3 linked regions of the Diceros bicornis minor genome follow. The protein of the gene in region 3 binds, or shares a complex with, the protein of the main gene of each other region. Links are inferred from orthologs where the notes say so. Each region holds a gene or a part of one and is shown on either strand. Other genes may lie near its edges.

Region 1 (9,857 bases), on a different chromosome or scaffold from region 3:
CAAGAAAGGAATTTGCAGTGACTTTTCCATGTTTTCCATAACTACTATCTTCTATTTTAAACATTTTATAACTACAGCCATCTATATTATATATATGTGTGTGTGGGTATAAATTAAATAACAGCATCTATATATGAAACATCTACTGCCTTTCTAAAGTAATCTGATATTTATTACCACTTGGTAAACTTCATCTGCTGAATCTTACGTTATCATCTCTAATACCTAATACTAAATTTGGTTCATTATATATCAAATATTAGGCTACTAAATGCCGTAAAAACAGAATATACATATTAATTAAGCATTATTTAATAAAAATTTCCACCTCTTCAACCACATTTAGTTTTTTACACTCTCTTGCAAACTAATGCATGGACTAAAATTTAATTCAACAAATCAATCATAGTACATCAGACCTAAAAGTTATCACCTGAAGGAATAACTGATAATTTACATACCCGTTTTTATAAATAAACTTGGAGATGTTTCTACTCCTAACTATAGGCATTGTACACCACCACCAAGAGTCTTTAAAATAAAATGCATTCAATACGGCTGAAGTCAAGTTTTTCCAGATTCAGCAGAATGTAAGTTGCTCAACCAAAAGTTGTGAAAGAAAAACTACCAAGATGCAATACAGCAAAGTTCCTACCATTGTTTCCACTGACAATCAGCTGATGGTTAATTACTACTGACCTTCAAGGAGACTGAAAAGAAAATGGTGTAGATTATGTATCCAGATATTTTCAGAAAATGTGATTCTGATTGGTGTCTGATTGGTGTCTACCACAATATCTGTAAATACGAACTATAATTGGTGCTTACTTCACTTATGTGTCCCACAGGGCCTTAACCACATTGTGCGTAAATACCTGTAGAATTAAAGTTTTTTTTTTTTTTTTTTTTGTGAGGAGATCAGCCCTGAGCTAACATCCGCCAATCCTCCTCTTTTTTTGCTGAGGAAGACGGCCCTGGGCTAACATCGGTGCCTATCTTCCTCCACTTTATATGGGACGCCACCACAGCATGGCTTACCAAGCAGTACTTCGGTGCGCGCCCGGGATCCGAACCAGCGAACCCCGGGCCGCCGCAGCGGAGCGCGCGCACTTAACCGCTTGCGCCACCGGGCCGGCCCCGAGAATTAAAGTTTTTAAAATAAAAAGTCAGGTTTTAAAAAATAAAATTAACTCCTCCCGACCAGAAGTTACTCACTGTTGAGCTTAACTAAAGATTAATGTTCAAGAACAAAAACATAATTTAGAATAATTGTCCTGCTCTCCCCACATTACATTCCTGCTTGGACTACTCCATCCTATACTAATCAAAATATCTTTTCATTTGCAACTAGTTAGAGTTACAAACTAACTTCCAATTCCCTCAACTATTAAGTTTGCTAGGTAAGCCTTCTTCCAAGAGAGCTCCAGCTCATCTTGGTGAATAAATCTCTGTAGAATGAAACCATTTGAAAATGAAATTATTGTTGCTTCGCTTTAAATTATGAGAACTGTATAAATAAGAAATTGGCTAAATAATCAGCACTGAGTAAAAAACAAAGTGACTCATATCCTGTAAGAGCTTTAAAAAAGTGGAAATCCTCCTCAGCAGAATTTTTTAAACACCCTATCTTAAACTGCAAAATGTACAACAAGATGAAACCATAACTCATGGAAATATAAAATACTTCAGAAGTTCCTAGTTCTAAGTTTCTTTACTAACACTTAAATGTTCTTACATTTATCAAGATTTAAGGTAAAAAAAACTGACAAGAACCAGAATAATCTCTTTCATATTATTACCATTTATTGAGTCCTCACAGAAGCTAAAATTTTACAGCCAGTCTCATTTACCCCTCACAACAGTCTGGAGAGGTAGGTATTATTTCCTTTTTATAGATAGGGAACTGAAGTTTAAAAAGTTAACTTTCCCAAGGTTACAAAGCAAATTTAAGACCTGAGTCAGGATTTGAATCCAGGCCTCTGTGATTCCAAAGCCCTGTACTCTCAATTAGTTAGGATGGTCTAATCCCAAAGATAAATTAAAATTCCTTAAATCAATCCAGGACAATTAATAATCTTAGTGAAAAAAATAAATGGCTTCTATAACCAACATTCAAGTTCCAAACCAAACAGGAGAAATACTCTGATAGTCTATCGTGTTCTAAATTACTTCAAAGATAGCTAGCTGTCACTTGCCACCGTACCTTATTTAAAAAAAAAAAAAAATCTCCCTTTAATGACTAAACCCTAGTCTCCAGGGTCTCACTAAGTAATTTCACCTGACCTCAGAGGCCTTCAGCAAACAGTATGCAAAGTAAGCCATGTTTCCTTTTTGTATCTGTAAAATGCATTAAGTACCCCCTCCTCTGTAAAGAACTTTTCACTATGGGAGGTGGGGGTGGATATTGAAGATACTCACCTTGTATAAGAGAATATTCTAGCCCAGAGCAGTAAGTGGTGATAAGGGTATATCTTCAGCTAAGATTTGCAAAGTACTGGTAAAGCAAAGATATGTGTCCTGCTTTGTTTAGTCAATCATTCTTATGACCCAATGGCAAAGTCAGAAACAATCACCATGCTTAACACTCTTTTTAAACTCCACCCTCCAATGTAAAGCTTCAATAGCAATGGCTTCTTCCTCCCTGGTAATGATCTTTGTTCAGCATACTACTGATGGCTGCCCTCCTAATTCAGGAATAGAGAAAGAGCATCAGAGTGAGAGCGCATTCACAGAACAAAAAAAGCATTTACTGTACTCTTTATCTTTGTTGATTAAAAAAAAAAAAACTATTTGGATTCTTTCCGGACCTAACCTACAAGCAATTCTTTCTATTCACCCCCCATCCTCCAATATGTTTTGTCCAAGGGCACTACATGTTTCCCTACTTTATAATAAATATTTAATTTGACCAAAGAGCATAAAACTTCCCCCCTGACCCCCACCTTTTGGGAAAGGCATAAGGCTAACTAGGACTCTTCCTTTCCCGTTCTAAAAACACCAAAAGGTTGGATCCTCCCAGTGTTGCAGCAGGAAGCAACCAGTCCATAGTGATAAAGCAGGCTAGTATTTGTGCAGCGCACAACCTTTCCTGCTCAGGAACTGGGCCTTCAGGTCTGGCAAGGATAACAGCCACCACCCATCCGCAACCCCTTCTCGCGAGCAGAGTCAAGAGTTATCCCGGGCTGGCTACCGCTGGGTGGGGAGGGTGGGAGAAAAAAGACTAGGTGGGAAGTCACATCAGTAGGCCGGGTCACTGCGACAAGTGCGCGGGTGGGTGATGGCCAATCCCTCCAACCCTACCCCCCACCCTCGGGGTCGCACAGGAGACGTGCGGAGCTCTAAACCATGTGGGGAGGGAAGGTAGAGGGGAAAGAGCTACCAACCCCGGGGGCAGTGCGAGAAGGTTACTGACCGCGAGTACGGTGGGGCGGGTGGGGGCCTCTGGCCCGCTCAGATTTTAACCCGGGCCCGGCCCCGCGACGGAAGACTACGGCTAGCAGGCGCGTCCGTCGGAGAAGAGGGGCTGTGAAGACAGGCAGAGCAGAGGCTCGCTCGAGGGGAAAGGGCGGCGGATAAGAAAAAGACCTGAAGTGGGAGTCTGCGCCGAGGGAAAGCTGGGGAGCGGAGGGAAGGGCCTGTCAGAGGGGCTCGGGGAGGGGAGCAGCTAGGAAGGGTGTATACCGAGGGGGAGGGGCAGCAGACCCGAAAAGACAGACGGTGGGAGGGGCGGCCCCTCCAAAGGGACGACAGAAACCGGGAAAGGAAGAAGACGATTTGGCAGAAGGACACTCGGTGAGGGGCCCTGAGGCTACAGAAGGCCTGCGGGGAAGTCGCGAAGAGACCGGTGTGTGGTGAGGACCCCTGTCCGAGAGGAGGAAAGGGGGCTGAGCCGAGAGACCTAAGGACAAACCGCAGGGAGAGGAAGGACTGAGGAAGGCCGATTTCAGAGCAGGGGTGGCCCGCACGCGGGTCCCCCGGGAGTGTCCCGGGCCCCCGAAAGGGGACTGGGTGGAGAGTGGGCGAGCCTGTGGCCTCACCTTTGAAGAGGTAGTCGTACTCGTCGTCGCGGGTGCCCATGGCGCGGCCGAAGAGGGAAGGGGTGGGAGCAGCAGTGGTATCGGTGGGACCAGGGGGCGTCGCTGCAGGGGCCACCCGAGCGCCGAGCTTCAGCTGCCGGACCGGGTAAAGAACCCCTCCCTGCCGCTACGCCACTTCCGGCAGGCCCCAACCCCTTAGGAGAAGTACTTCCGGGGAGGTGGCGCCCCGCCCCTGAGCCCAGGAAGGGCGGTGGGCGGAAGCATCGCGTCGATCTTCAAATTCTCACCCCCTCAAGGAGGCTCATGGGGGAAACTAAACCCTGGACTCCTAGCTGACCGCACTCTTAGCGGCCTCTTCCTCATTCCCCGCTCCGCCACGCCGGGAAGCGGGGCGCTGGGGAGCGCTTCGGCTCTACCGCGGTGTGGTGGGTTTGTGGATGGGGGCGGGGTTCATAAAGGATTAGGGAGCCGAAGGCGGGTGTCTTTGCGTAGCGGTTCCATGGTGTAATGGTTAGCACTCTGGACTCTGAATCCAGCGATCCGAGTTCAAATCTCGGTGGAACCTGCGCTGTTCGCTTTTTTTCCTGACCACACTATAAATTCATTTGTTCACTTAGTGATTGTTGTACAGCTACAGTATAGATGGCCTTGAACTAAATAGGGAGGGAATTTCACAAATATAATTTTTGCCTGCGAAGAGCTGACAGATTACCCCCTTCGATTCTGTACTATGTCACCTGATGGCTCCTAAGGAGCCTCTTCACTTTGCCGTTTTTTTAACCTGGGCCCTCTGCCTCAAACTTAATTCAAAAGCTTCATGAAACTGGATTTATTTTGCTAGAATTTTCAACCTCCGACTTTACTCCAGGGCAGGCGCTTTTCACTCACTCCTTTTCTCCGGAAATCTCTCAAACTATTTCCAGATGTCATTTAGAGAACTTCGCCCACCCTCCTCCTCATCAAGATTCAAGAACTTCTTGAGCCCTATTTGTCATCCTCTAAGCCAAACGCGTTTACATAATTATTTCATTTAACACGCAGAGCAAAGGATGGCAATTTCCATTTTAGCAAAAATGTAGATACTGAGACTCAAGTGATTTGCCAGAGATCACGCAGCAGGGCATCCCTGTCTTTGAAGAGAGTTTTGTCATTCCAAAAAGCTTTTCCCATTTATTGTCACACCCCCTACCACCAATATGCAAACCCACAATTCAGGCTTTTGGGTAAGGGTGCCTGTAGTAATCAGAATAATGGCTCCTCAAAGATGTCCACTTCCAAATCCCTAGGAACTGTGAATGTGTTAGGTTACATGGCGAAGGGGAATTAAGTTTGCAGATGGAATTAAGGTTGCAAATCAACTGACTTTAAAATAGGGAGATTATCCTGGATTCTCCAGGTGGGCCTAATGTTGTCACAAGGGTCCTTAAAAGTGGGAAAGGGAGGCAGAGGAGGTCAGAGTCAAGTGGTGTGAGAGGGCTTCAATCAGCCCTTGTGGCTTTGAAGATGGAGGAAGGAGGCCAGGAGCCTAGGCATGCAGAGGCTTCTAGAAGATGGAAAAGGCAAGTAGGGGCCGGCCCCGTGGCTTAACGGTTAAGTGCGTGTGCTCTGCTACTGGCGGCCCCTGGGCACACCGACGCACTGCTTGTCGGGCCATGCTGAGGCGGTGTCCCACATACAGCAACTAGAGGGATGTGCAACTATGACGTACAACTATCTACTGGGGCTTTGGGGAGAAAAGGGGGAAAAAAAAGAGGAGGATTGGCAATAGATGTTAGCTCAGGGCCAGTATTCCTCAGCAAAAAGAGGAGGATTGGCGTGGATGTTAGCTCAGGGCTGATCTTCCTCACAAAAAAACAAAAAGGCAAGGAAATGGATTCTTCCCTAAGGCCCCCAGAAGAAAGAGAGCTCTGCTGACACCTTGATTTTAGCCCAGTGAAACCCATGTCAGACTTATGACCTACTGAACTATAAAATAATAAATTTTGTTGTTTTAAGTCACCAAGTTTATAGTTATTTGTTACAGCAGCAATAGAAAACTAATACAGTGCCATTTTCAGGGCTTTTTCTCACAGTATAAAGCAATAGAAGGTTTATCTAAGGTCTAAATACTGCCTTGTGCAGGGGTGAGCATTATCCACGTTGGGGGAGATGCACAATATTACTCACGCAGCTAAATATTATGTGTACTACAGATTATGTATAAAACACAGTCCTGGCACTGCTCAGGTGGGTAGACAAGATGGGCCCAAGAAAAGGGGACTGTCAATAACTAGACAGTTCTGAAGGAGTAACTAATGAGAGTTCTGGTGATAAGTGCCACAGTTCAGAGACTGAGATAGTTATGAAGAACTCCCCGGAGGAGGAACTAGCATTGACCCCTGAAGGAAGAAGCAAGGAAGGAAACTCATTTTCGGAAGTGGAGGAAATTAGATGATAAGAACATGTTGAGCAAGGCCATTAATGCCGGAAGAATAATTATAACTTTTCCCCTTAAGTCATTGTTTCTCAACGTGTGTCCTGAGAAGGTCAGTAGTGTTCCTCCAAAGGATTGCATGGTCAAATAAATTGAGAAGAACTACACACTGTCTCCCCACCTTAGAGGTTCCCTTAGCACACTGGCATTTTAAAGTCTAGATATTCCACTCTGAAGAAATCTTTTTTTAACTGTGTAGAACACAGCATTTCCCAGATTCACCAGACCCCAGAACTCTTTTCCCAAGGAACACCTGTTAGCACCCCTCTAAACACTTTGGGGAAGCCATAAAAGATCTGTGGAGAAGTGATTGAAGTAAACCTTGTCTTAGGAAAATTAAGCTGGCTGTGGACTGCAGGACTCGGGTGAAGAGACTGGAGGTGTGGATATCAGTTAGAAGGCTATTGCAATTAACCGGGCACAAACTAATAGAAATGGGGTATAGCTAAGGGACTAAAGAAGAAAGAAAAAGCAAAGGCTATTGTGGAAAAAATGGTAAATGGATTCCACGGACAAAGAAGAGAATTAGGGTTTTACATTCTTTGGGGAAAATGAGTAGTAATTCCTTGATATATCTCTTTTTAATCTCTCAAGAAATATAGGTACTTAATGTAAATTACTTTAATGCAGAAATATAGAGTAAATCCTTAAAGTCTCCACTTCAATTCCTCCTCCAACCCCAGAGATAACTGCTCCGTTTTCTTTTAATAAAATCACGTTATATGTACCATTTCTCACCTTGAAAAATCTTTCCACATCAGTCCATACAGGTTTAACTCATTTGTTGCATAGTTTTCCTTAACAATGATGTACCATAGTTTGTACAAGCATTCCCATTCCCTTACCCATGGACCTGGCAGATACTGAGGGTTGCTAAATTAAAACCTATTCCTAAGCTGTTTCTTCCTTGCCCATTTCCCCATTAGAGGCTGGACAAGCTGAATATTCATTTTCCCAGCTACTCTGCAATATTTTATATACTAGTATAAAAATATACTAGCAATATATTTAATTTTTGCCCGTCTGGTGTGCCTAATAATTTCCACTTCTCTGATAACCAGTGAGTGTAAACATTTTCTCCTATGTTTATTGGCTGTTTATATTTCTTCTGTGAATTGCCTGTCAACATCCTTGTCCGTTTTCTTGTTGGGTTGTTTATCTTTTCCTATTAATGGGGAGGATCTCTATATATTCTACCTTTTAATCTTTTGCCTGTTATATATGGCACAAATATTTTCTCTAAGTAAATCACTTGATTTTTAATTTTATTAATGATGCTTTTGTCCATACAGAAGTTTTAAATTTTTATTTACTCAAATCCCTCTCAGTCATTTCTTCTATGGCTTCTGGCTGTTGCATTTTGGGTAAGAAGGCTTCTCCACACTAAGATGATTCAAAAAATGTTTTTTTAAAAAATATTTTTATAATTTTTTTCTCCATCTGGATTTTATTTATATTGAGGATGCTGTGAAATAGGGATCTAAATTAATTCTTTCCAAATGGATAACCAATTGTTTCAATATGTACTTGAATAGTCCATCTTTTTCCCACTGATTTGAAATGCCTAAATTTTTATAAATGAATCTCACATATATAAACGAGTCTGTTCTTGAATCTTTGCACCATACCTCTGGCAACGACAGAGGAACACTGCTCAGATGTCCTTTGAAGAGAGAGCCTATTGTGCCTATTGTGTGGTTGGCTGACAGTGTCCAGCTACCACACCTCCAAGATCCACTACAATGTTCACACTGAAGCCATGCTCCCTCCGGAATGTTCCCAGACAACGACTGAGTGCAGTGGGGGTTCTAGAGCTGGACCACTTCTGTACAGATTGGGGCTCTTCTAATAGGCAGTCTTTGCTCTTGAGCTCTCCACTGGCCTGGCCGAAATTTCCTCAGAATGCAATTACAGTCTGACGCTCTTCCTACCCAATCCTTCCTTTCCTCTCTCCTTGCATAGCTATTAGACCTGCTTTGTGGTCTGAAGGCCCTACTTCTCCCTTTTGTCCATCACAGGCATTCCTGCTAAATGAATCTCTTACACTTCCAATTCATCTGGTATCTGTTTCCAGAGGACTTGACTCTGATACAGTCCCATTGGTCAAGTTTTTTATTCCTATGCCAGTGTCACACTGTTTTGCTTATTATAGCTTTGTAGTCCATTTTGATGTCTCATATGTGGTACTAAATGAGTAAATATTTGTATAGTGCTTAGAATAGTGCCTGACACATAGTAGGAACCATTTGCCTTTGATAAATAAAAATAAATACGGCAATTCCCTCTCACTGTTTTTTCTTTCTAAACTTTGACTATTTTTAGGGACTCTATTTCAGATGAACCTTAGAGTAAACTTCTTAAGTTCCAAAAGATTCATATTGGGGTTTTGTTTGGGTTTCATTACTAATCATTAAAAATACTTTTTTCAGAAATGAAATATAGAATTTGGACAGAATGTACAAAAATATGAGATTCTGCCTATGAAGATACAAAAGGAATCAGAGAGATCTGAGGTTTAATATCTATTTGGAAGAAAGATCACTAGAAAAATGGAGGTGAGGAGAAAAAGCAAAAAAAGAGCAAAAATGTTGACTTGAGTTTCAGGCATGTCTAATTTAAACAGTTAGTAGGAAAACCAAAAGGAAATATCCAGCAAAAAGCCTGGGAATTTAGATTTAGAAATGTCTTAGCCTTAGAATATGTAGAAGAAGCAAGATCTGGAATATATCCCATCCTCTACAGCCTGGGAGGCAACTTTACATGGTTGTTTAAAACAGCGTGGAGACTGATAGGTCTGTGTTTAACTCTAGCTCAGCCATTCACTTGCTGTATCTTCATAATTTACCTAATCCTGCTGAAGCTCAGTTCCTTATCTGCAAAATGGGGATAAACGTGAAGACTGAAATAATATATTTGCAGCTCTTGGCATCATACCTGGCACATAGTAAATGTTCAGTTAATGCATTGGGTCTCAATAGGGGTCAGCTTTTCCCCCAGGGAATTTGATAATGTCTGGAGACCTTTTTAGTGTACAACTGGAAGGTGCTACTGGCATCTAGTGGGTAGAGACCAGGGATGCTGCTAAACATCCTACAATACACAGGACAGCTCCCCCACAACAAAGAATTATCTGGTCCAAAGTATCAATAGTGCCAAGGTTGAGAACCGTGAGTTAATAGTAAGGGTTAGCCAGAGGCCAGGCCAGGGCTTATGACGGGAAAAGGGTAGGATACCCATGAACATCACCTCTCCATCCTACCTCGTTTTTGAAAGACTGAATATACTCCCTAGGCCTCAGAAAGAATGCCCAGGACAGACATACCTCCCTTCAGTATCCCGTAAAGCAG
Region 2 (10,261 bases), on a different chromosome or scaffold from region 3:
GGGAGGCTCTGAGGTTGTTGGGGGCCCATAAAGGGGCTGAGGAATCAGCTGGGGTGAGAGCTGGGTGTCTGCATTCCTACCACCACCCAGGGATGGAATGGGGGTGCCAAATGGAGGCAGGGACTCTAACCTTTGAGGACAGTCTCAAAGGCCAGCTCAACATTGGTGGAGTCCAGGGCTGAGGTCTCCAGGAATAGCAGCCCATTGTTTTCTGGCAGAAAAGGAAACACATCATTAATTGTGGGTGTTAAAGGCAATAATAATAATAATATTTACTTAATATTTACTATGTGCTAAACCCTGGGCATGTGTAGCTCATTTATTCCTTAAAACAACCTTGAGGTAGGTTTGAATACTATCCCTTTTTTGTTGTTATTGAGGAAGAGTCACCCTGAGCTAACATCCGCTGCCAATCTTCCTCTTTTTGTATGTGAGCCACTGCCACAGCATGGCCACTGATAGATGAGTGTATAGGTACACACCTGGGAACTGAACCCAGGCCACTGTAGCGGAATGCTTCCGAACTTAACCACTGGCCACCAGGGCTGGCCCTACTATCCGTTTTTTGTAGAAGAGGAAGCTGAAGCCCAGAAACACAGAGAGAGTGACTAAAGAACTTGCTCAGCATCCCACATCTAGTAGCAGGCCAAGGGATGTGAGGCTGGGCCGTGGGACCCCAGAGCCTGCACCCTTAACCACTACATCTTGCTGCCTCTAAACCCCAGAAAACTCCCAGGGAAAATGTGACTGGAGATGGTCAAGGGGAGCCCACCAGCTACACTTAGGATCTCTGAGCGTTGCAGGGTGGGGCTGTCTTAAAACCAACTATAAATAATTGCCCCTAAAGACAATCTCAGGGCAAGTGGTGGGACATAACGAGGGACACAAGGTCACAGAGGGGAAGGGCTGGACATCCTGAGGAAGAAGGGATGGGGGTAGGGGATCCTATGGAGGAAGTCCAGGTTGGGGCCCTAGGGTGGGAGCAGGGGCTGGGGAGGCAGAAGCTGGGATTGCGTGGGTAGGGTTGGAGGGGTCACACTGGGTCGCGATGGGCTCTCACCGGCAAACATGCGGGCCTCTTCAGTGGGCACCTCCCGGGCCTGGCTGAGGTCACTCTTGTTACCCACCAGCATGACGACGATAGTGGCCTCAGCATGGTCGTAGAGCTCCTTTAGCCAGCGCTCCACCACGGCATAGGTCTGGTGCTTGGTTAGGTCAAACACCAGTAGGGCCCCCACCGCACCACGATAGTACCTGTGTGGGGGGTAGAGGGGTGGACAGAGGCAAAGTCAGGGAGGACAGGCCCAGCCTCAGAGCAGAGCCTCAAGCCAAAAAGCCAGAGATGAGTACCAGAGATTGGGAAATATGAAAACTGGGTCCAGGGATCCAAACCCAGATAGGGCAGCCCAAGGATCCCGTGCTCCATGCTGAGAACCCTCCAGGGATTCTGATCTTGGCTCCCGTCTTCCTTCATAGCCCATCTACTTCCTTCCTTTGTTCTGATTTTGCCCCTGCCATCCACCAATGCATACCTGAGCTCTGGTCAAATCTGCTTCCTGGGAGCTCCACCTTCAAGATCTTCCTCACGTGGCTCCTTGACCCACAGTGCCCTCTTCTCTCTTGTGGCCATCTTTCTAGAACTAGCTAAATGGCTACCCCATGCAGCGATCCCTGATTTGACCATCTGAGGCATCCTTGCAAGAACCCAGCCTCACTCCTAGAGTTAGATGGAGCTTCTTTGGTGATATCTAATTACTCCCATTTTACTGATGAGTCCACTGAGGCTCATAAGAGGTCAGGTGACCCGTCCAAGAGTGATGAGTATGTTGTGCTGCTGGGTAGTGAAGCCCCTGACTCTTGCTCCCTGCCCGCTGGAGGGTACTGTCCCGCACCACACACACACAGACCATCTTTCTCACATTTGGCCTGATGCTGCTTCCGAGGCGCTCTGCACATGGTGTCACATGTGGCGTAATTTTCTCTGTGTCCTCTGAGTCTTTGTAAAGTGCAGCTGAGGGGTCCAGCCCTTTGCTTTTGTGGTTAGATGGCAAAGCACTGTGCAGAAGTGAGGGGCACTCTCAATTGGGGAGCCTGCCCTTATCCCAGCTCCACCCAGCTTCTTGTATTTAAACAGGGATTGATGGGAGCATCTTACTCCCATGGTACTTTGAGGATGACACAAAATGCCCCATGTAAAGTGCCTTGTACCTCCCTGGGCACAGAGCAAAGACTTTCAAGTGGTGGCAATGACTCTTGTTTTTAGTCCCAGCAGTCAGCATCGCTACATCCTGTCTCAGACTCTTTGTGGCTCACAGTACTGTGTCTCCTCAACCAGCCATGGCGCCCACTGATGCCACTCACGGAGCACACTGCTGAGTGCCCTTGCCTCCTCCTCCTCCTCCTCCACCTCTCCTCCAGAGGTGCTCCCTGACTTCCCCAGCACCCCCACACCCCAGCAGTCCCCCAGCCCCGGGCTCACGCCGAGGTGATGGCTCGATATCGCTCCAGGCCAGCCGTGTCCCAGATCTGAGCCTTGACAGCGGCGGTGCCCAGCATGACAGTGCGGGTGGAGAACTCAACCCCGATGGTGGTGCGGCTGTCGTGGCTGAACTCATTGCGCGTGAATCGGGATAGCAGATTGGTCTTCCCCACTCCTGACTCGCCGATCAGCACCACTGAAGGAGTGGAGAGATAAGGGCTGAGCTTGGAGCAGAGCGGCCCTAAGCTCGCCTGAGCTTGGAGAGTCTGCCGCCTGAGCTTGGAGAGTCTGCCCGCCAGTAAAGGGGAGCTGAGCTCAGAAAACTGAGGAGGGAGCAGAGACTGGGGTCTGCAAATCTGCGTGATGCATCTGTGAGTTTGAAATGGGCTGAGGGGCTTTAAGGGTTCTGGGCTGGTCTGTTGAGACGGGCTGCAGAGTTAGCCTGGGTTTCTGCTGATGGAGTGATGTCTGTGGGCTGTTTGTGGGTCTTGGTGTTCAGGGGTTGTGTGGAGAGGTTAGCAGAGTGTGTGAATGCGGAGAGAGATGGCAGGAGGTCTGGGGGGGAGGGTGCACATTTCTGGACTAGGGAGTATGAGAACATTGAGCACGTTTCTATGTATATGAGCTGGGAGGACAAGTGGGGGGTTTGGTGTGTGTGTTTGCATGGGAGCAGAGGCGCGAATAGAAGTGTGAGTGAGGAGAAAGTTGGCAAGTGACACGTGTGTGGGTGGGGGGAAGGTATGCAGGCGGTGTGTAAGAAGTTAGGATCCAGTTGTCCCCAAGGAGGGGCAGTCTTGCATATTAAGACCATAGGGCTGGGTGTTGGACCAGCCGTGTGTCCTTTAGCAAGTTATTTAACTTCTCTGACTTTCTTCTTCATATGAGAAATGGGAATAACAATAGTGACTATCTTATGAGTTGTTGCAAAAAGTAAATGAGATATTGCCCAGGATATAGTGAGTGTGCAAAACTGTTACTGCTGGGATTGCTGTTGGTAGGCCAGAGCTTTTACTTTCAGGTTTTCAGGGACAAGGATCCATCAGAGGGGCCGTGAAGAGCCTTTGGGCTGGTGGGCAGCATCCAGGGCCCAGCCTTACCGTGGGTGAGCTGGGGGCTGGGGGAGAGTGTAGGGGGCTGATTAAGTATGACCCATAAATTGCACCGACACTGAGCTGAGCATCCAGGGTTAGAGGAGGCCGCCCAGAGTGGTTCTGGAAAAGCAGGCTGGTGCCCTGGGAGCCACATATTCTGGGTTCTGATCCCCACTCAGCCTCTGACTAGCCATGTGACCTTGAACAAGTGGCTCACCTTTTCTGGGTCTCAGTTTCCTTGTGTATAAAATCTATAAAGGCCCCCTCCAACTTTAAAAATTCCTTATTTGTGTAGGACAGGAAAGAGCTGGGAGGCTTATGGGTGTGTGTGTGTGTGCTCCTGCCTCTCCCCTACTGGGAACTTCATCCCCATCTCATCCCTCTGGTGGGTGGGCTCCTAGCCCTACCCTCAGGCCCAACAGCTTCTCAGGGCAAGGATTTTGGAGTCAGACAGACTTGGGTTTGAATACTGACTTTGTGACCTTTTGTAAGCTACTTACTCTGTCTCATCCTCGTCTGTAAAATGCAGATACTAATTGTTAACACTGATTGAGTGCCAACTACGTGCCAGGCACCATCCTAAAGGCTTTACCCATATTAATTCATTTAATCCTCACAACAATGGCATGAAGCAAGTACCGTTATCATTTTCATCCCATTTTTACAGACAAGGGAACGGAGGGGGTTAAATGACTTGCACAAGGTAACACAGCTAGCCAGCTAGCGTGGTAAACGCAGAGGTGTGCTGCCTGGATCCGGCTTCAAGGAAGGACTGGCCCCCAGCTGCAGACAGTGCAGTTGGCAGACAGCCTCCAGCTGTCAGCTCCTTCAGCATGTGCTCCTGGTGCAGAGAGCAGCTGTACCTGAGGTCATGCCTTTCCCGGGCAGCCCCCCACCTCCAGTGCCGGAGCAAGGTAAGGGGATCACAGAGCTCGCTGCCCTTGGCCGAGGCTTTGTGATTCTGCGCTACAGTTTGCTTCCTGCCCAGTCCTGTTTCCTCCCCCTTCCTTTCACTGGTGTTGATCCATAATAAACATCTTATACCCCAAACTTCTTGTCAGTGTCTGCTTTGGAGACCCCAACCTGCAGTACTGAGTAAGCGGCAGAGCTGAGATCTGAACTCAGTCTGGCTCCTGACCGTGATGCTATAATGACCATTATGCTTTCAAAATGGAAGATAACTTTTGGGGGTTGTTATGGTGATTAATGAGCTAGCGGCTGGCACATGCTAAGGGCTCAATAAACAGTAGTTACTAGTGGTCGTACTGCCCCAGACTATTGCTAGCCCTTCCCTGGCCTCCCCTTCCTGGGAAGGATGCCGGGACTACAGGTTCCCCAACCCCAGATGCCTGAGAGTCCCAGCCAGAGAGAGGGTGGGGCTGAGGCTGGGAGAGGCGTGGGGTGGGGTGGCAGGACAGGGAATCATAGCTCCGCCAATCCACCCTGCCCAGAAGGAGGCGTGGAGGTGGGGGTGGCATGGGGAGTGGGGAACAATAGAGAGGCCAAGCACAGGGGCTGAGATAAAGGAGCAGGAAAGAAACACGCACACTTCCAGGGACAGCCAAGTGGAACCCAGGGCCTGGTATTTGGGCCCAAGGGGTCTGCCAAGGGACAGCAGACAAGACCATGGCCCTAGGAGTCCTCTGGATCCTATTAGACCCTGCTCCCAAATCGTTACAGCTTCCCTATGTCTTCACTCAGCCCTATGATGAAATAGATCTCTCCTTTCCTATACATCTTCCCAGGAAGATGACTTTCTTTCTTTTAAGTCTGCTTGTTTCCCCTTTTCTCAGGAGGGAAGTCCTCTCTGAAGTCTGATCTCCATCTCTTGTGCTGCAGTGGCTGACTATTCCTAGGGATTTGGGCTTCCTTTAGGCATGGGGCAGAGGAGCCTAACTCGACACTATTAAGGAGTGATCACCATCATTATTTACAACAGTAGAGCATTCTAGCAGCTCCAGGACTTTCGCCCCTGTAATCAGACCCTCCCTCACCTCCTGCAGCTTTCTTTCTTATCCAAAGGAATGATGAGCCCTGGGGGGTCCTGCTAAGAGATAAAAAAACAGGAAGGGGCCGTCTCTGGTTTGTTGGTCTCTTTCTGGGTCTCTCTCAGGCTTCCTCTCTCTTTATGGACCCCAACTCACCCTTGAAGACAAAGTTATAATCTTCCTCGTTTCCGTTCCCCATCTTGGCTCCGCATGGAGGGTACAAGTGTCTTCAAGGGCAGAGATGACGGGTCTATGCGTTAGTTCAACGCCCTCAACCCTCAGTTCTCAAGAGACCTGGATCCGCCCCTCCTCTCATTGGAGGTAAAGAAACTTCTGCAAGCCAGAGGGATTGGGGGCCGACTCGAGGCTAGGCAGAGCCTAGGGAGGCTCAGCTCTGGCAGGTGGGGGTGCTGCAAGGAAGCTGAGAGGACGGAAGCTGAGAACAGGAAGAGCAGGGCGACTGGAGACCTGGGGCCCAGGTGGGTGGAGAGACGATGACGTCAGACAGGTTAGACAGGTTGGGTGTGTGCTCTCAGCCTGGGCTCCTGCAAGCAGGTGAGCAGGCTCCAGAGGGTGACAGTGGGGGAAGCTGGGACAAGGACAGGGCCTTCAGAGAGCCAGCTGAGGACTGAGTACGCATGTCTAGGCTCCTGAGACCTGTGGCCAGGGGGCCCAGCCACCAGCGAGTGAGAAATAGCCTCTCAGGGAGCAAAAATCTACTTGACCGCCTGCTTTTCCTTCAGAGCCCTTGCAGGGGTTATCTGGGGGCACCATGGCAAGGGCTGTTGGGGCAAGGGGCTGGGGCTGATGGGATGCCAGTCACCCTGCCGTGCAGAGGTCTGGGAGCTGCATCTCCCATACAGCAACTTCTACCCCTCCCTGACAGCCCAGGGCCTGGGACGGGCAGTATGTCTCACCCTGGGTGGAGCTGGAATTTGCAACCTACCTCTTCTCTGGGATGGGTCCCTTCCTACAGCACTGGGTAGCTCCCCATCCAGACCTGCTCTTAAGGACACTGGGTATGGGGAGACCTGGGGCAGAAACAGCCAGATGGGGTGAAGAGTCTGAGTGGAGGGGCAGAATCTGGAGGGGAAGCCCTCTGAGAGGTCTTCTGGGTTTCTTTTACTCCCTCTCCAGGACCTGAAGCCTCACAACAAAGCCATCCTGTCTGCAAAGGGCTGCAAGATCTGGAGAAGGTCTATGTGAGCATGTGAATGCCTGGCAGAAGAGGAAAGGAGTGGCCCCTTGTAGGCAGCTAGGGGACACTCTCCCAACCCCAAGAGTAGAAAAGCTCCCCCACCCCTCAAAATCAGGATGAAGGACACTTAATTCCCAGGGCCCTATATTCTCTTTGTTCAACATGACCTTCCACCAGCCCCTTGCACCTCTGAGCTCACGCCCAAGGTTTTGCCATCAGGTGGGTGAGATTCTGCTCTGAGTGGCAGGGACCAGGGGAGGTCACACCACGGGAGAGGCCAAGGGAGTGAGGCATCACTGCCCAAAACCATTGGGTTGTTGGAGGTCCTGGTGAAGGAATGGGTGGAAATCCATCCTTGCAGCACATGAAGAATCCTATAAGAAATCCCTGCTCCTTTCTATCTCCTCTGATTGCTCCCACTCAAGAAAGCAGCCAGGACACAAGACAGGAGCTGAAGTTTATTCTTGGAAAAAACAAAGTCCCACCCTCCCTCCACAGTCCAGGAAGGTTTCCCCAGGGGGCCCTGCCCCTCCCAGTGGTCATCTCTCTTTTCTGACTCCAGCTTCCACCAACGCCCACTATGATGCCGCTACTTGGGTGAGGGGATCCTCCAGGTACTGCACCAAGGCCTGCGCCTGCAGAAGGGAGAGCAGAATCAGTCCCACACATGGCCTGCCCCTAGAGGGATCCCAAATCCAGGTCTACACCCAATGCTGAGCACCCCCTCCCAGCCCCCGCTTGCTCCTGGGAGTTAGCCCACACCAGACATGGATTGGGTGACAGGTGGCCTGCAGGAAGGTGGTGGGGATGGGAACAGACAGTGATGGAGCACAAAGGCTGGGCCCAGGACTGCAGAGGGATGGGCATGTACACACCTTGGCCTTGAGCATTCCGAAGCCAACAGTCTCCTTGGCATACATACACAGCAGAAGGTTGGCCACTCGGGTAATGGCTACACGGCCCTCCTGGTGGGGACAATATCATGGGATGTGATGTTCGGCTTGGCACCTTAGCCCCCTCTTTCCCCAAGGGCTCCTCTTGAGAGAGACTCTATCTTCCTCCCATGCCCTGGGCACACGCAGGAGCTTCAGCAGTGGGGCTTTGGCCACAGCCCTGGACATGGGGTCCTGAACCCCAATTCCAGCCTCAGCACAGGCACCTACTAACCAAGTTACGCTGGGAAACTCAATCTCCCAGGGACTCCGTTTCTCTTTCTGTAACCCCAACCTCACCCCAGCTGGTGAGGGCGCCAGTACACATGAAGGAGTCTTGTATCTGCAAAGGGCTGTCCAAATGGGTGAGATTATTATTATGGGTTCACCCCAAAACAATGTAAGGGGCTTGAGAGCAGTAACCCAACTTATGCTTCTCCTCTTTTCCCATGGTAATGCTTTTCAAACTGCAGGTCTGACCCCAGGGTTAGGAGATCAATTAAGAAGGTGATCAGCATTAAAAGAAAAAAGAAGAGAAATGAAGTGCATTGCATGTTGTAAGCCGAGACCTTTTTCGCAAAACTTTTGTTTTAGTGGGTATATATGTGCACTGGGCTCTGACTTAAAATGTACTTCCTTTGGCCCAGTTGTGATCAAAGCGTTTGAAAGCTATTGCCCTAAAGCACCAGCTCTAAGCTAGGCACCCAGGAGGAGTCATCAGTTGAACTGAAATGACATCCTTGGTTGCACAGGGGGTAAGGATGAGGTAGGCAGCTGAGTTACAGTGGAATTCCTTTCTGGAGAGTTCATTCTTGGGGCCTTTTTATTTTTATTTATTTATTTATTATTTTTTTGTGTGAGGAAGATCAGCCCTGAGCTAACATCTGTCAATCCTCCTCTTTTTGCTGAGGAAGACTGGCCCTGGGCTAACATCTGTGCCTGTCTTCCTCCACTTTATATGGGACACCGCCACAGCATGGCTTAACAAGCAGTGCCTCGGTGCGCGCTCGGATCCGAACCCCAGCCGCCAGCAGCGGAGCACGCGCACTTAACCACTAAGCCACGGGGCCGGCCCCTGTTGAGGCCTTTTTAATTTGGTTCAGCAAATTTTCACTAGGTATCCAGCGAGTGCTGGGAACCAGGTGCTACACTCTCTGCCTGTCTGGACTCTGCTCCTACTAACCTCCCCATGCCACTCTGATGCCACTCCAGCCACATCAACCTTGTTGATCCTTGACCAGGCAGCATTCTGCCTCAAGGCCTTTGCATCTGCTGTTCTCTCTGTCAGAAACGTTCTTCCTCCAGACAGCCACATGGCTTGCCAACTTCCTTCAGATCTGTGATGAAATGTCACCTTTGCAATGAGATTGTCCCTGACACACATCCGCCTCTATCTCACTTCCTTGCTTTATTTTTCTCCACAGCATTTTCAATACCTAACATACTACTTTTTTAACTTATATACATATTTTACTTATTTTGTAAAACATATTTACACACTTATTTTACAAAACATACATATTTTACTTATTTTAAAGCATGTCTAAGACTAAGTTTCATTATAAATAGTTTTTGTCTGTCCTGTTTGCTACTTTTCTCCAAGTCCCGAGAACATTGCAGGGACCTAAAAATTTGTTGACTGAACAGATACAAAGGTGAGTGAGACAGTTTCTGTTTCCAAGAAGTTCACAGCCTAATGGCCACTTCCCCTTTCTGGACTTCATCTGCTTTCTCTGTAAACTGAAGGGACTGGACTAGTGTCTGGAGACTGTGCCATTCTTCCCTGAGTCTGTGAATCTGGGATGACAACACTTTGTGTCTGTACATCATCCTACGGTTTATATCCACTCTTTCATTTGATCTTCACAACAACCCTGTGTGTATTGTTTCCCCCTTAGAGGTGTGCTAAGGAAGCTCAGAGAGGTTAAGTGACTTACCCAAGGTTCCACAAATGTTAGTGGCTGGCTGAGACCAGAACCCCAGTCAGACCTCGGGTCCAGGGCTCCTCCCTCACCACCACTTGATGCATAGGGTCCTGCCTATTATAAATGCTGCTGCAGACCAACTCTTAGTAATCTTCCAGAGATCCTGTCCCTGCCCCTCCAACCATCCAGGATGGGGTCCGGGTCGCCCCCTGGGAATCCCCTTCGAGGACAGAGGAAGTAGCTCCTCTCTCCATACCATGCAGTCCATGAGAATGAATTTGAGATTGTCTTCATTAAACGCTTGGTTCCCGTTCCGGTCATAGGCGGCCCAGATGTTACTGGCGATGGCTGCGGTAACCCGGGCGTCCGTATCCCCGTAACCGGAGTAGGCCAGAAGAGATCCCTCGTTATTCAGCAGCCTGGCAAGGGACGGGGAGGGATAGTGACATGCTCAAGATCGGAGTAAAATGCCTGAATTTCCGTCCCAACTCCCGCCACCGGCGCTTCCAGAAAGCAAGGGTCTGTGCTGAGGGTGTCCTGGGATATGCCCCGAGCACCCACCACGTCGGTTTCTCTTTTCGAGAGGAGCCATCCCGGCCTGTTGCCCTGCTCCTTCTGCCACCTCCTCCCTTCCCGGAGATCCTACCC
Region 3 (10,098 bases):
ATATTATTATATATTATAATATACATATATGTATTATTTATATGTATGATTATATTGTATATTATGTTTATTACATATGTAATATATACTATATATTATACACAATATTATATGTATATATATCTGAAGGACTTTGAGAATTCTGGAGGTGGAAGGGGCCTCAGAGGCACAGAAATATTATGACTTGTCAGGTCTACAACTCCTTAGTTGCAGAGCCAGGATTATCACTTAGGTCTTCTGATGCTTAGGCCCATGGGTTTTCACACTATCATCACAAACTCCCAATAATTTCACTGTCAGTTGTCAAAAAGAGACATGATTACCAAAAAAAAAAAAAAAAATTCCCTGCAAACATGCATAGGACACATATATAGATATCTCTGCAGCATTGCTTATTATAGTGAAAAACTGGAAACAATTTAAATGTCCTTTGGAAGGACAAAAGATCAAATGGGGCTTATTCATCTGACCCAATACCATAGAACAGTTAAAGTAAATCAGTTCACATTCTATGCATCAACATGCATTGATTTTGTAGGGAACAAAAATTGCACAACATAATACCATGAAACCATGAAGAGGAAATCAAAAGACAGCTACACAAAACATTCTTACGTGCAAATGTGTATTCTGCTCCATAAATTCTTATGCTCCTCAACATGTCTTCATGGTCTGAAAGAGCTACAAATAATATGAATAGAAGTCATATGTATTAATTACTACAAGTGAAAAGTTTAAGGCTTTTCAAAACCACTTGCACTTCTATGTAATTTCTTCCTAATATTGAGCTGTTAGTGTCATTATCCTCATGCAGGGCCTATTAATCAAAGTTATATTTACTTCCTTTCTGTGATAATCATTTTCATTTGGGAGAGAGAGCTCTCAGGATGTCTTGAAGATTTTTTTTCCTCCTGAATTAGAGGATCCTGCATTAATAAATTACAAAAAAAGGGAATCTGCTTTAGTATCTTGACCAAATTCAATGAGATAATTGTACTGCAATTTGCTTCTTTGTACAGTGGATGTACTACTTAGAATTATTAAATGTTAGAGAATGCTTTAGTCGTTCCTATTATAGACTCTTATTTTACAGATGAGGAGACAGAGGACCAGAGAAGGAAAACTACTTCCCTAAAGATGCGTAGCTGTGATGGGCAGACCTGGGATGAAGACCTAGGCTGCTGACTAGAGCTCCTTACACTACACACCACACTGCTTCGCGCATCGCAACCGTGTCCACACGCTGCCCCATCCCAGAAGACAAACGAACCAGCTCAGTGATGAAAACAAAACAATTGTCAAAAACCCCCAATCACTAGTTTATTGCTATTATAATTTCAAATCAACTTGCCAAATACTTTCTTACTTTTTGACTGATTATGTGGAGATTAACCTATGTAAGTATCTCCAACATAACTCTGGAGTTTTGCCACATGTATACACGTATAAATTTTATATACATTTCAGCTGTCTATATATTTCAAGTATATGTATATGTGTGTGTGTGGGTGTGGGTGTGGGGGTGTGTATGTGTGTGTATCTGAAGTCCAAAGATTGTAATGATATTTTGGGAAGGCTTCTTGTTGCCCTCAGGTCTCTGAACCTCCATCAGATAACTAATTAATACCTGTTACACATTTATATGAGAGCGTTAACACTCTTGACCCAGCAGGCCATTTAAACACTAAGAGCATTATAATCATCCTACAATAGATTTGCAAGTTGTGATCTTAGAGATACTGATGCCTAAAGGGAAAAAATCTTTCACAATGCTTGAATAAGTCTGCTTATGGGACTTTACTTAAAGATGCAGCACTTAGTAAATATTTTCATCTGCGAAATCTTCCACTATTGCATAATAAATATTGACTATGTTTGCTTTTTGGCCAAATGGTTCATTCTGGTCAAATCGTTAAATTATTCATTGCGGCAGGCTTGTAACAGTTTAAAATTAGAGATTTCAGTGTTTTCCTCCCTAGGATGTATTATTTTTCCAAGCCCTTGATTTTGGAATTATATCAAACATTTCTGAAAAAATCATTAGTCATGCGATAATAAAAAAAATGACTCTCTGATTCTGGTATGTTGTCCTTATGCATGCAATTCTTCTTCCCTTTTTAAATTACTGTCCATGTATATCTTAAAATAAGTAAAGAGAATTTTTAAAACTTTAAGACAATAAACATTTTTGCAGAACCACTTTGATCCCAGATCTTATGTAAATGCCATTATTTTTCACCATGAGCCAACCACTTATTTGACCCAACTGACATGTTTTTACTCTCTTGATACAAAGATAAAAAAAGAGAAAAACACTTTCTTATAGGTAATCACTTCACTTTTACAATGCAAATCCAGATTCTATTTAGCTCATTTTTAAAATTTGTTTGTTTATTTTCTTCCTTAGGGCAAAAATATGCTATTTTCTTACTCTGGCTTACAAACACTAAGTCATAACTTCTGATCTTGCCAGATAGTAAAACTAAACAATTTTGGCTCTAGCCAGGTTCTGGGAAAACTCAAAAGAAATTTAGGTGCTACAGGAAGAGATGTTAGTAATTTCAGTCTTTCAGCTCTTGCCTTTAGAGTACTCCCTGAATTGTGTTGGAGTATGTTATTGCGTTGCTGTGAACTATTGCTGCCAATTTCCACCCTAGAGATGGCTATATTTCAGAGATGAGTGAAATGACATTTGTAAACAAGTTTATAATCATTAATAAAGCTTACCAAACTATTTAAGCTCTTTAGAAACACACATCCACTACTATAATTAACTGCCTATTGTTTATTTAATTACAATCTTTAATAGAGACTTTAAAAAATGTAATTTATAAAAATTCTAAACTTAATTAAATTTGTTCTCATGATGCTTATTTTCTTTTTGTAAGTTTCAGGTGTTAAATTATTTCTCCCCGTAGATCCTGGTGAAATTCCACCACTGACTATGTCAAGGTACTCTTTAAAAATCCCTAAGAATATTTTTCTTTACAGTTGACAACTGCCCACTCTGGGGTCCAGGTGCTATATTCACAGTATGATGATTTTGTTCTGTTTTACACACATGGCTTTTCATACACTGTCTCTCAGAGATGAAAATTCTGCCTCTTTCTTTTACATTTTACAGCAAACTTTCATCAGAATGACCTAAGACCAGGTCTTCTCATTTTAGATGGTATCTAGCTCAAGACTATTCAAGATTCGTCTGTAGTTTGGTTCCCTGAAGATCTTGGTGGTAAATTAATCCGATGTCTCTTTTTGGAATGCCTACTTCATGCAGAATTCACACCAGCCATTGTGTGTAAGCAGCACTAAAAAACTAGAGTGTCTAACAAACGAAAGGAAATCTATGGACACTACCAAGTGTCAGTGGGTCCCTGAAAAAATGTGCTGGAATCTGGGTGGTCTTCAAGGTTTGTGGTGTTGTCCTTTAGGGTCAGGGAAGCATCTTCCTTCCACAAGATTAAAATAATGTATAATGTTCTCTTCCTCCTACTAAGGTTTTTCAACTCTATGGTTGTTCTTCTGACTCAAATATATTGGGCTCTCAATGTAATGGGAAAAGATCCTTGTTTTTTAGAGTTCTCAGTGCTGCAGCTTGTATCCTGTGAACATGGGCACACTGAGAAAACACGGAGAACATAATGTCTTCCTCAAATGAAAGAGTTTTAAATTTTGCTTGAAAATAATAAACACAATACCTTACCCTTTTATGGCCATTTTATGTTGGAAAAGTGTATGCACATCTATCATATTGTTTTATTCTCAAAATTAGTCTTGTAAAGGGAGAGAAGGTATTAAGTCATTCAGTAAATTGAGTGCCTACTGCATGCTAGGCACTGTGAAGGGATGATTCATGACACACAGGCAGTCCAAAGAGTTTAGAATTTCCTTGGGAAGATAAGACATGAACAGAAATAAACACAATAGAGGAGTATATAAATAGAGGAGAATGAGAAATAGAGGGGCAGAGAGAGACTTAGAATTTTGTGCAATACTACGTTAGGAAGTGTACGTGTATTACCTCACAATACTCCTCCCAACTCCATAACAGATATTTTATCTATAATTTATGGACAAGGAAATCAAGGCTCCCAGAATGGAAGTTTCTTGCCTCATGAAGCTAAGTGCCCATCAGGAGCTTTGTACTGATTCTCTGGCAGAGCTAGGACATCAAGCAAGGTTCCTGACTCACCAGCCATTACCCATATTTTTCCCACAAAATCAAGCTATCTTCAGAAAAAGCAGAGTATTAACATATCCCCATTTTCTTCTGTTAACAAAGCCTCTCCCATTCCAACAGCTCTGGCGTCCATCAGACCTTGACCTCAGGCGCAGGTAGGACAAACGTCTGTTGCCCTTGGTGAAGGAGGCTGTTTGTTTTTCTTAGCTGACAGAATATGACCAGAGTCATCTCTGGGGCTGGCTTCCGAAGCTGGATAGTCTACTAGACTGTGAGTGCCCAGGGGGGTCCTTTTGACGCTGAGCCCATCAATCTACGATGGGGTCTTAGACACAACCGAGACCTGTTTTACCCGTGAAGAATCTGAGGCTCAGGGAGGGGAAATGACTTGACCAAGGTCACACAAACATGGTGGCAGACCTGGGGTCGGAACCAGGTCTTCAGACTCCAGTCCAGTGCCACCTGCGATCTTTATTAATCCCCGTGTTCGTTTTGGAATCTTTTATCAGCTTCCCTCTCTCCCTTGGCTTGAGTGGAGGATGTCCTTCCAGCCTATTAACAGCCTTCTCTCTTTTCAAAAAGAGAAGAGTGGATAAGGGGTTGGGGAAAGTGTGTTTTCAGTTAACGAAGGGGACTGATTCATTCCACCGCCATTCGTCCAACGCCCGCTCCGTGCCAGGCACTGGGCATCCAGAGTACAGCAGACAGCTTCCGAAGATTGAAACTGGGTCTCTCCCTAGACGGGGCAGGCCCCGGGCCTTCACTGCCTCCTCTCGGGAGCGGTCCCCCGATCTCCCCAGAGCTCCCTGCCGGCCCGTGCAGACCTCCACGTCCCCAGAGCCCAGCGCTGCGCCAGGCCGGAGCAGCGGGCGCGAAGCCACCCGAGGAGCACCAAGCACTGGGCGGGGAGCTCCCGCCGCGCGCCCTCGGTCGCCAGGGCAACCAGGGAGGTGCTGACCCCTGACCCCGCGGGCCCCGCCCCGTCGCGTTCCCGAGAGCAAGATGGAGAAAGCCAACCCGGAAGTGCCGCTGCCGCCGCCCGCCCGGTGCTAGGAACCGCCGGCCCGGCGAGGCCGGGCCCGTGCCCGCCGCCCTGCAGTCCGCGGCCCGGCCCGCGGCCCGCCGGCGCCGGGGCGGCCGCGTCCCCCGCCCCCCGTCCCACTCCACGCCCAGGCGACCCGCCCCGCCAGAGAGGAGGAGCCGAGGCGAAGGGGAGGAGGAGGAGGGAGAGGTTTGCGAGAGGGAGCGAGGCCGCGCGAGCCGCCGGCGGTTCGTATTACCGGGGTCGGGAGGAGGAGCCGGGCCGGGCCCGCGGACCCGCGCGGGGCGGGCGGGAGGCGCGGCGGGGGCGGCCCGGCCGCGAGGAGGCGGGCGCGAGGCCGGGGGCTGCGGATCTGGGCGGGCGGGCCCTAGTCTGCAGGGCGGGGGCACCCTCCCTCCTCCGCCGCCCTCCGCCCGGCCCTGGAGGCCAGGCCTCACCTGCCCGCAGGCCCGGGAGCCGCCCGCCGCCGCCGAGGGCCCGTCCCCGGGGCCGCGGAGCCTGAAGGTGCAGACGCGAGGCGCGGGCGTCCGCGCGGAGGCCGGGACGGCGCGGCCAGGTGATGCTGGGCCCCTGTGCTTCTCCAGAGGAAAGGGGACCCCCAGAGCAGCCGTGCCCCCGGGCTGCCCCGGTGAGGCCATTTGACATCGGCCCTCGGGAAGTTGGGCAGCTGTGAGTTTGCCGGTCTCTGTTAAGTGCCCTTAGGATGCAGGGTTTAAGGAATTAGGCTCCCCCCACCGGGAGGGGCACTGCCTGCGCTTGTGAACTCGCTGCGGAGAAGCAGCACAGCATGATGCTGTCCGAGCAAGCCCAGAAGTGGTTTCCAACCCACGTGCAGGTCACAGTGCTCCAAGCCAAAGATCTTAAGCCAAAAGGCAAAAGTGGCACCAATGACACATACACTATAATTCAGCTGGGCAAGGAAAAGTACTCCACCTCAGTAGCTGAGAAAACCCTTGAGCCGGTCTGGAAGGAGGAGGCCTCTTTTGAGCTACCTGGCTTGCTAATGCAGGGGAATCCAGAGAAATACATTCTTTTCCTCATAGTTATGCACAGGTCCCTGGTGGGTCTGGATAAGTTTTTAGGGCAGGTGGCAATCAATCTCAATGACATCTTTGAGGACAAACAAAGAAGGAAAACAGAGTAAGTTATGTAATTTATTTTGAATTTTGGGGGAGCTTAACTCTGTCTTATTTATGGATTTTCTGTTCTTGGAAATTATTTGTATACCTGGGGCGTTGGTTTTTGGACTGAAATATGACCCAGTTTTAAGCACCATATTTGCATGAATCTGAAGTAAAAATAGCCCTTGTGAAGAAACATTTTATAAATGGAGTCATTAATGCTCCATTACTCTATTTGTTTGAGTAAACATATTAAATAATTGAATTTTTTGCACTGGATTTTAAGTAAATTAACATCGTTTCACTACTTATAAGGGGACTGGATCACAGTGTTGACCAACGAAAACAACATACATGTAAATTATCATCTTTAAACATACAGTTTTCCGGGAAATGGAACATCAGAAAATTAAATCTGCCAATATAACATCATATATATATGTGGAACTCTGAAGCTGTCGAAAGATAAATTACCAAATTTGGAACTCTGTGTTCCATTTCATCCTTATAAACATACTTGGGTTTTATTTTAGCTCAGCCATTTTTCAGGGGCAGTACATCTTGATGGAGTCCAAAGCTGTTAAAAGAAAGTAAGTTTTAAAAGTATGTACAAACATCCTTAGCCTTGAACACACTAACATTTTCCTTTGAATTTACAATATATTGGAGCTACTATGTGACTTCAGAATTAGGTCTAGTGTGTTTAGACCATATTAAATGCTGTCAGATTGGAGACAATGGTTAATTTGTGATGAAATGATTTAATAACATCTTCAATGAAAACATGGCTTTTTAAATATGACTTTAAGCTTAGGATAGATAGATATATGCTAATTTTAAAAAACTATAATATAAATGAACACTAGAATATTATATCTTAAATTGAAAAATAGTGTGTTTTCAGAGATGGGTATACTTGCAACTTCCTTAAACTTATAATTTTTCTAGTCTGAGAGATCATTAAGATTGATGGAATTAATGAGAGAGAAAAATAGGGTTGAATTTATAAGAGGACTTGAAATTTCCAAAATAGCTTTGGTATTTCAGTCATAACTAAAATTTATGTAACCTTTTAAAAACTTGTTCATAATGATAATTTTCTTGAAGTTCATCTTAATGTCTTTTATTTTAAAACAACCATCTCTTGTTCTTTTCTCCACATAGCTTCCAGCAAGCTTCTCTTGATTGGAGTTTTTATTAAAAAATTTTTTTAAATCAGATCTTTACCTAAGGCTTAATATATATATGATAGTTGGGTAGAAAAATAAGAAATAGCAGGAATGCAAGAGGAAAAATGATAAATATTTAAGGTAATTGAGGAGATGAAAATATTTTTTAAAAAAGGAGAGGAAAAGTTTTTAAAAACGTAAAGTCGACTATGTATCGATGATTTTAATAAAACTGGTACCTACAAAGTGGCATCCAGTTTCCTCTGAGGAGTTCTTCATCAACTTTAAAATGAAAAATGGATAATTACCAAATAATTTGTTTCAAATTGCCAATGTTAGATGACACTTCCTATATAATAAAGTGTTTTGAATGTAAACTTTATATTGTAACTTCAGATTTCACACTGCATTCACAGTACTTTTCATGTTAATGAATGATATATTACAAGACTTCTCTGAAATATAAATTTTCCAAGTGAAAGTAGGCCCAACTGCGAACCCAAAGATTCTGATGAAATAAATAAGTTTTTAATGTTTCTTCTTGTTTTACTCCTTATCTTTGGTAGCATCACAGTTACAATAAATTTGGCTGTAAGCAATGCTCTAATATCGTAGTCTCCCTACAGAAATTCTCTATGGGCTCCTATATAAAATTGGTTAGAACTTTTGGGGGGAAAATGCTTTTAAATGTTATCAACAGAGCTTTTATTGCATTCAAAGTGGTTTTCATATGTTATTAAATCCCTAACATTTTCTTTCTTTGTGGATAAATGGGGACCACGTATTTGATGAGATATCTTTATTGGTAATATTCCTAGTTTTTTAATATATTTAATAGCTTCCTTTTCCAGCACAGCTGTACATGTGGCACAGTAAGAGACAGACTTGAGCCGGCAGTGTATTGCAAGAAAGATATTTAATATTCTCCACATAGCTGAACCTTGTCAGCATATTCCCAAGTGCTTTTTAGAAACTGGTATGAGTGATGAAGGCTACCAGCTGATTGAGAAGTCCCATGAAACTGCTGGGAGTGACACTTTTTACTCTTGACACTGAAGACAAGTATTTACGGCTTGTCTTCCAGCTGTGTCATGATAGGCAAAGACGTGTGACGGCTAAAGCTATTATTTTACTTATTTTTATACCTTGAAATTAATTCCCTTTTTTTTTTTTCCTTTTAAGGAGAGAGGAAAAAGGGCCTGAGCCAGAACGCTTTGAGTGGGGCCAGAAAGAGAACTTCTGTATCTCTCTTGAATGGGTGTCTGGGTTGGTTCTGGCAGGAGATTTAAGGAAATAATACAGTGTTTAATAAGAGAATGGTAAAATCGTTCATGCTGTTAGGTAATATCTATTGATTTTTTTTACAACAGAAGTGGGTGATGTTGATTTTTTTTTTAATGCTCATGAAAAGTAATAACAGAGTCCCTAGAGTTAGGTATGACTCACACACATGCAGGTTTTAGGACTTTTGTGTGCGTCTCTGCAGTACACCTGCGTCCTGGCCTCTGGCACCCTCGCTGCCAATCTTGTCCCATTTCTGACCACACAGCACCAATTGCTTGGGAATAGTTCCCACATGTGTGGTGGTTTTGAACATGGACCTGTGCCCACGAAAAGTTGAACAGAGGCCATATACAGTTTAAATCCAGCACTCAAGAAGTGAAAAAAATCAGCATTAATCCACTAAGCCCTAAATGCTATGTCTTCATTTTATCTTTTCGAAGCCTGGGAAAACAAGTACTATCTCTGGAATGATTCTTGAAGGTCTCGTTAAGACTTCCCTATTATATCGCTTTCTGTTAAAGCAGCTATAAGTTATTTGTCATGTCCAAATTTTAAATTAGTATATTTGTTAAAGTTCTTTGCAGTTTTTTTTTTTTTGGAGGGGGTAGGATGGAAAATATACTGTATTTACAGTTTGCATTTAAACACTGACTTGCTTTATTCTTTAAAGCTTACCTAAGTCCTTAGCATTCCCTACCAAAAACCAAAACAACGCAGCACACCCAGAGTTGTAGCTTGGTGGTTTTAAGAATATAGTTTTAGAAATAAAAATTCAATAAACGTTTATTTAGTGCAAGGCAAACCTTCAAGGAGCTTACACTCCAGCAGGGGAAAGCCTACATTGCCTTCCTCTTTTGCTGTCATGTCTCAATGAAATACAGTGTCCTGTAATGTAGGACCAGCTGTACGGTTAACCTTATTAACATGTGGTTCATCAAATACGAAAGAACTTCTGTTTTCTTGCAGATATTATTCATTAACTTTGGATATTTTCCTTATTGACTTTAATCTGACATTGAGAAGTTACTTATTCTCTGTGCCTCGGTTTCCTCATCTATGAAATAAGGATGTTAAAGTAGATGATTTATTTGGTCTTATTTGTAAAATTCTGTGAGTTTTGATTACCCTTACCCCTGTCCATTTATTGGGTTATTGGTTTATTTTTTTTATCAGATTTGCTTTGATTTATTGTATACGTGGAAATCCTACATGCTTGGGTTTTTTGTTTCGTTTTTGGCACATTTCTTGGAAAGTGTATTCACCTGTGTTCTGTAAGCCTGAGATGTTGCCGAGTTTCTCACG

What was found.
Region 1: the proteins of RAB11FIP2 (region 3) and RAB11A are in contact, whole or in part, in a crystal structure (PDB 2GZD), measured with the Homo sapiens proteins. The link is inferred for Diceros bicornis minor from reciprocal best matches to the Homo sapiens genes RAB11FIP2 and RAB11A. Residues at the interface, in NP_055719.1 of Homo sapiens: Glu478, Ile481, Asp482, Asn483, Leu485, Val486, Met489, Glu490, Pro493, Ser494, Leu496, Arg497, Val498; in NP_004654.1 of Homo sapiens: Arg33, Ile44, Gly45, Val46, Glu47, Phe48, Ala49, Thr50, Lys61, Trp65, Arg72, Arg74, Ala75, Ile76, Ala79, Tyr80, Arg82.
Region 2: the proteins of RAB11FIP2 (region 3) and RAB25 are in contact, whole or in part, in a crystal structure (PDB 3TSO), measured with the Homo sapiens proteins. The link is inferred for Diceros bicornis minor from reciprocal best matches to the Homo sapiens genes RAB11FIP2 and RAB25. Residues at the interface, in NP_055719.1 of Homo sapiens: Arg475, Glu478, Ile481, Asp482, Asn483, Leu485, Val486, Met489, Pro493, Ser494, Leu496, Arg497, Val498, Pro499; in NP_065120.2 of Homo sapiens: Arg34, Ile45, Gly46, Val47, Glu48, Phe49, Ser50, Thr51, Lys62, Trp66, Arg73, Arg75, Ala76, Ile77, Ala80, Tyr81.

Annotation. Positions count from the first base shown.
Region 1 is NC_080744.1:60,101,701-60,111,557, reverse strand, and holds the start of RAB11A (ras-related protein Rab-11A), read right to left. Parts: upstream 4,200-9,857; 5' UTR 4,078-4,199; coding exon 4,038-4,077; intron 3,524-4,037; coding exon 3,413-3,523; intron 1-3,412. UniProt on the Homo sapiens protein: The small GTPases Rab are key regulators of intracellular membrane trafficking, from the formation of transport vesicles to their fusion with membranes.
Region 2 is NC_080743.1:59,707,019-59,717,279, reverse strand, and holds the start of RAB25 (ras-related protein Rab-25), read right to left. Parts: upstream 6,000-10,261; 5' UTR 5,758-5,999; coding exon 5,715-5,757; intron 2,676-5,714; coding exon 2,480-2,675; intron 1,255-2,479; coding exon 1,061-1,254; intron 212-1,060; coding exon 131-211; intron 1-130. Other genes in the region: ragulator complex protein LAMTOR2, read right to left, coding at 7,335-7,391, 7,632-7,721, 9,870-10,032. UniProt on the Homo sapiens protein: The small GTPases Rab are key regulators of intracellular membrane trafficking, from the formation of transport vesicles to their fusion with membranes.
Region 3 is NC_080745.1:81,037,399-81,047,496, reverse strand, and holds the start of RAB11FIP2 (rab11 family-interacting protein 2), read left to right. Parts: upstream 1-5,613; 5' UTR 5,614-6,009; coding exon 6,010-6,362; intron 6,363-10,098. UniProt on the Homo sapiens protein: A Rab11 effector binding preferentially phosphatidylinositol 3,4,5-trisphosphate (PtdInsP3) and phosphatidic acid (PA) and acting in the regulation of the transport of vesicles from the endosomal recycling compartment (ERC) to the plasma membrane.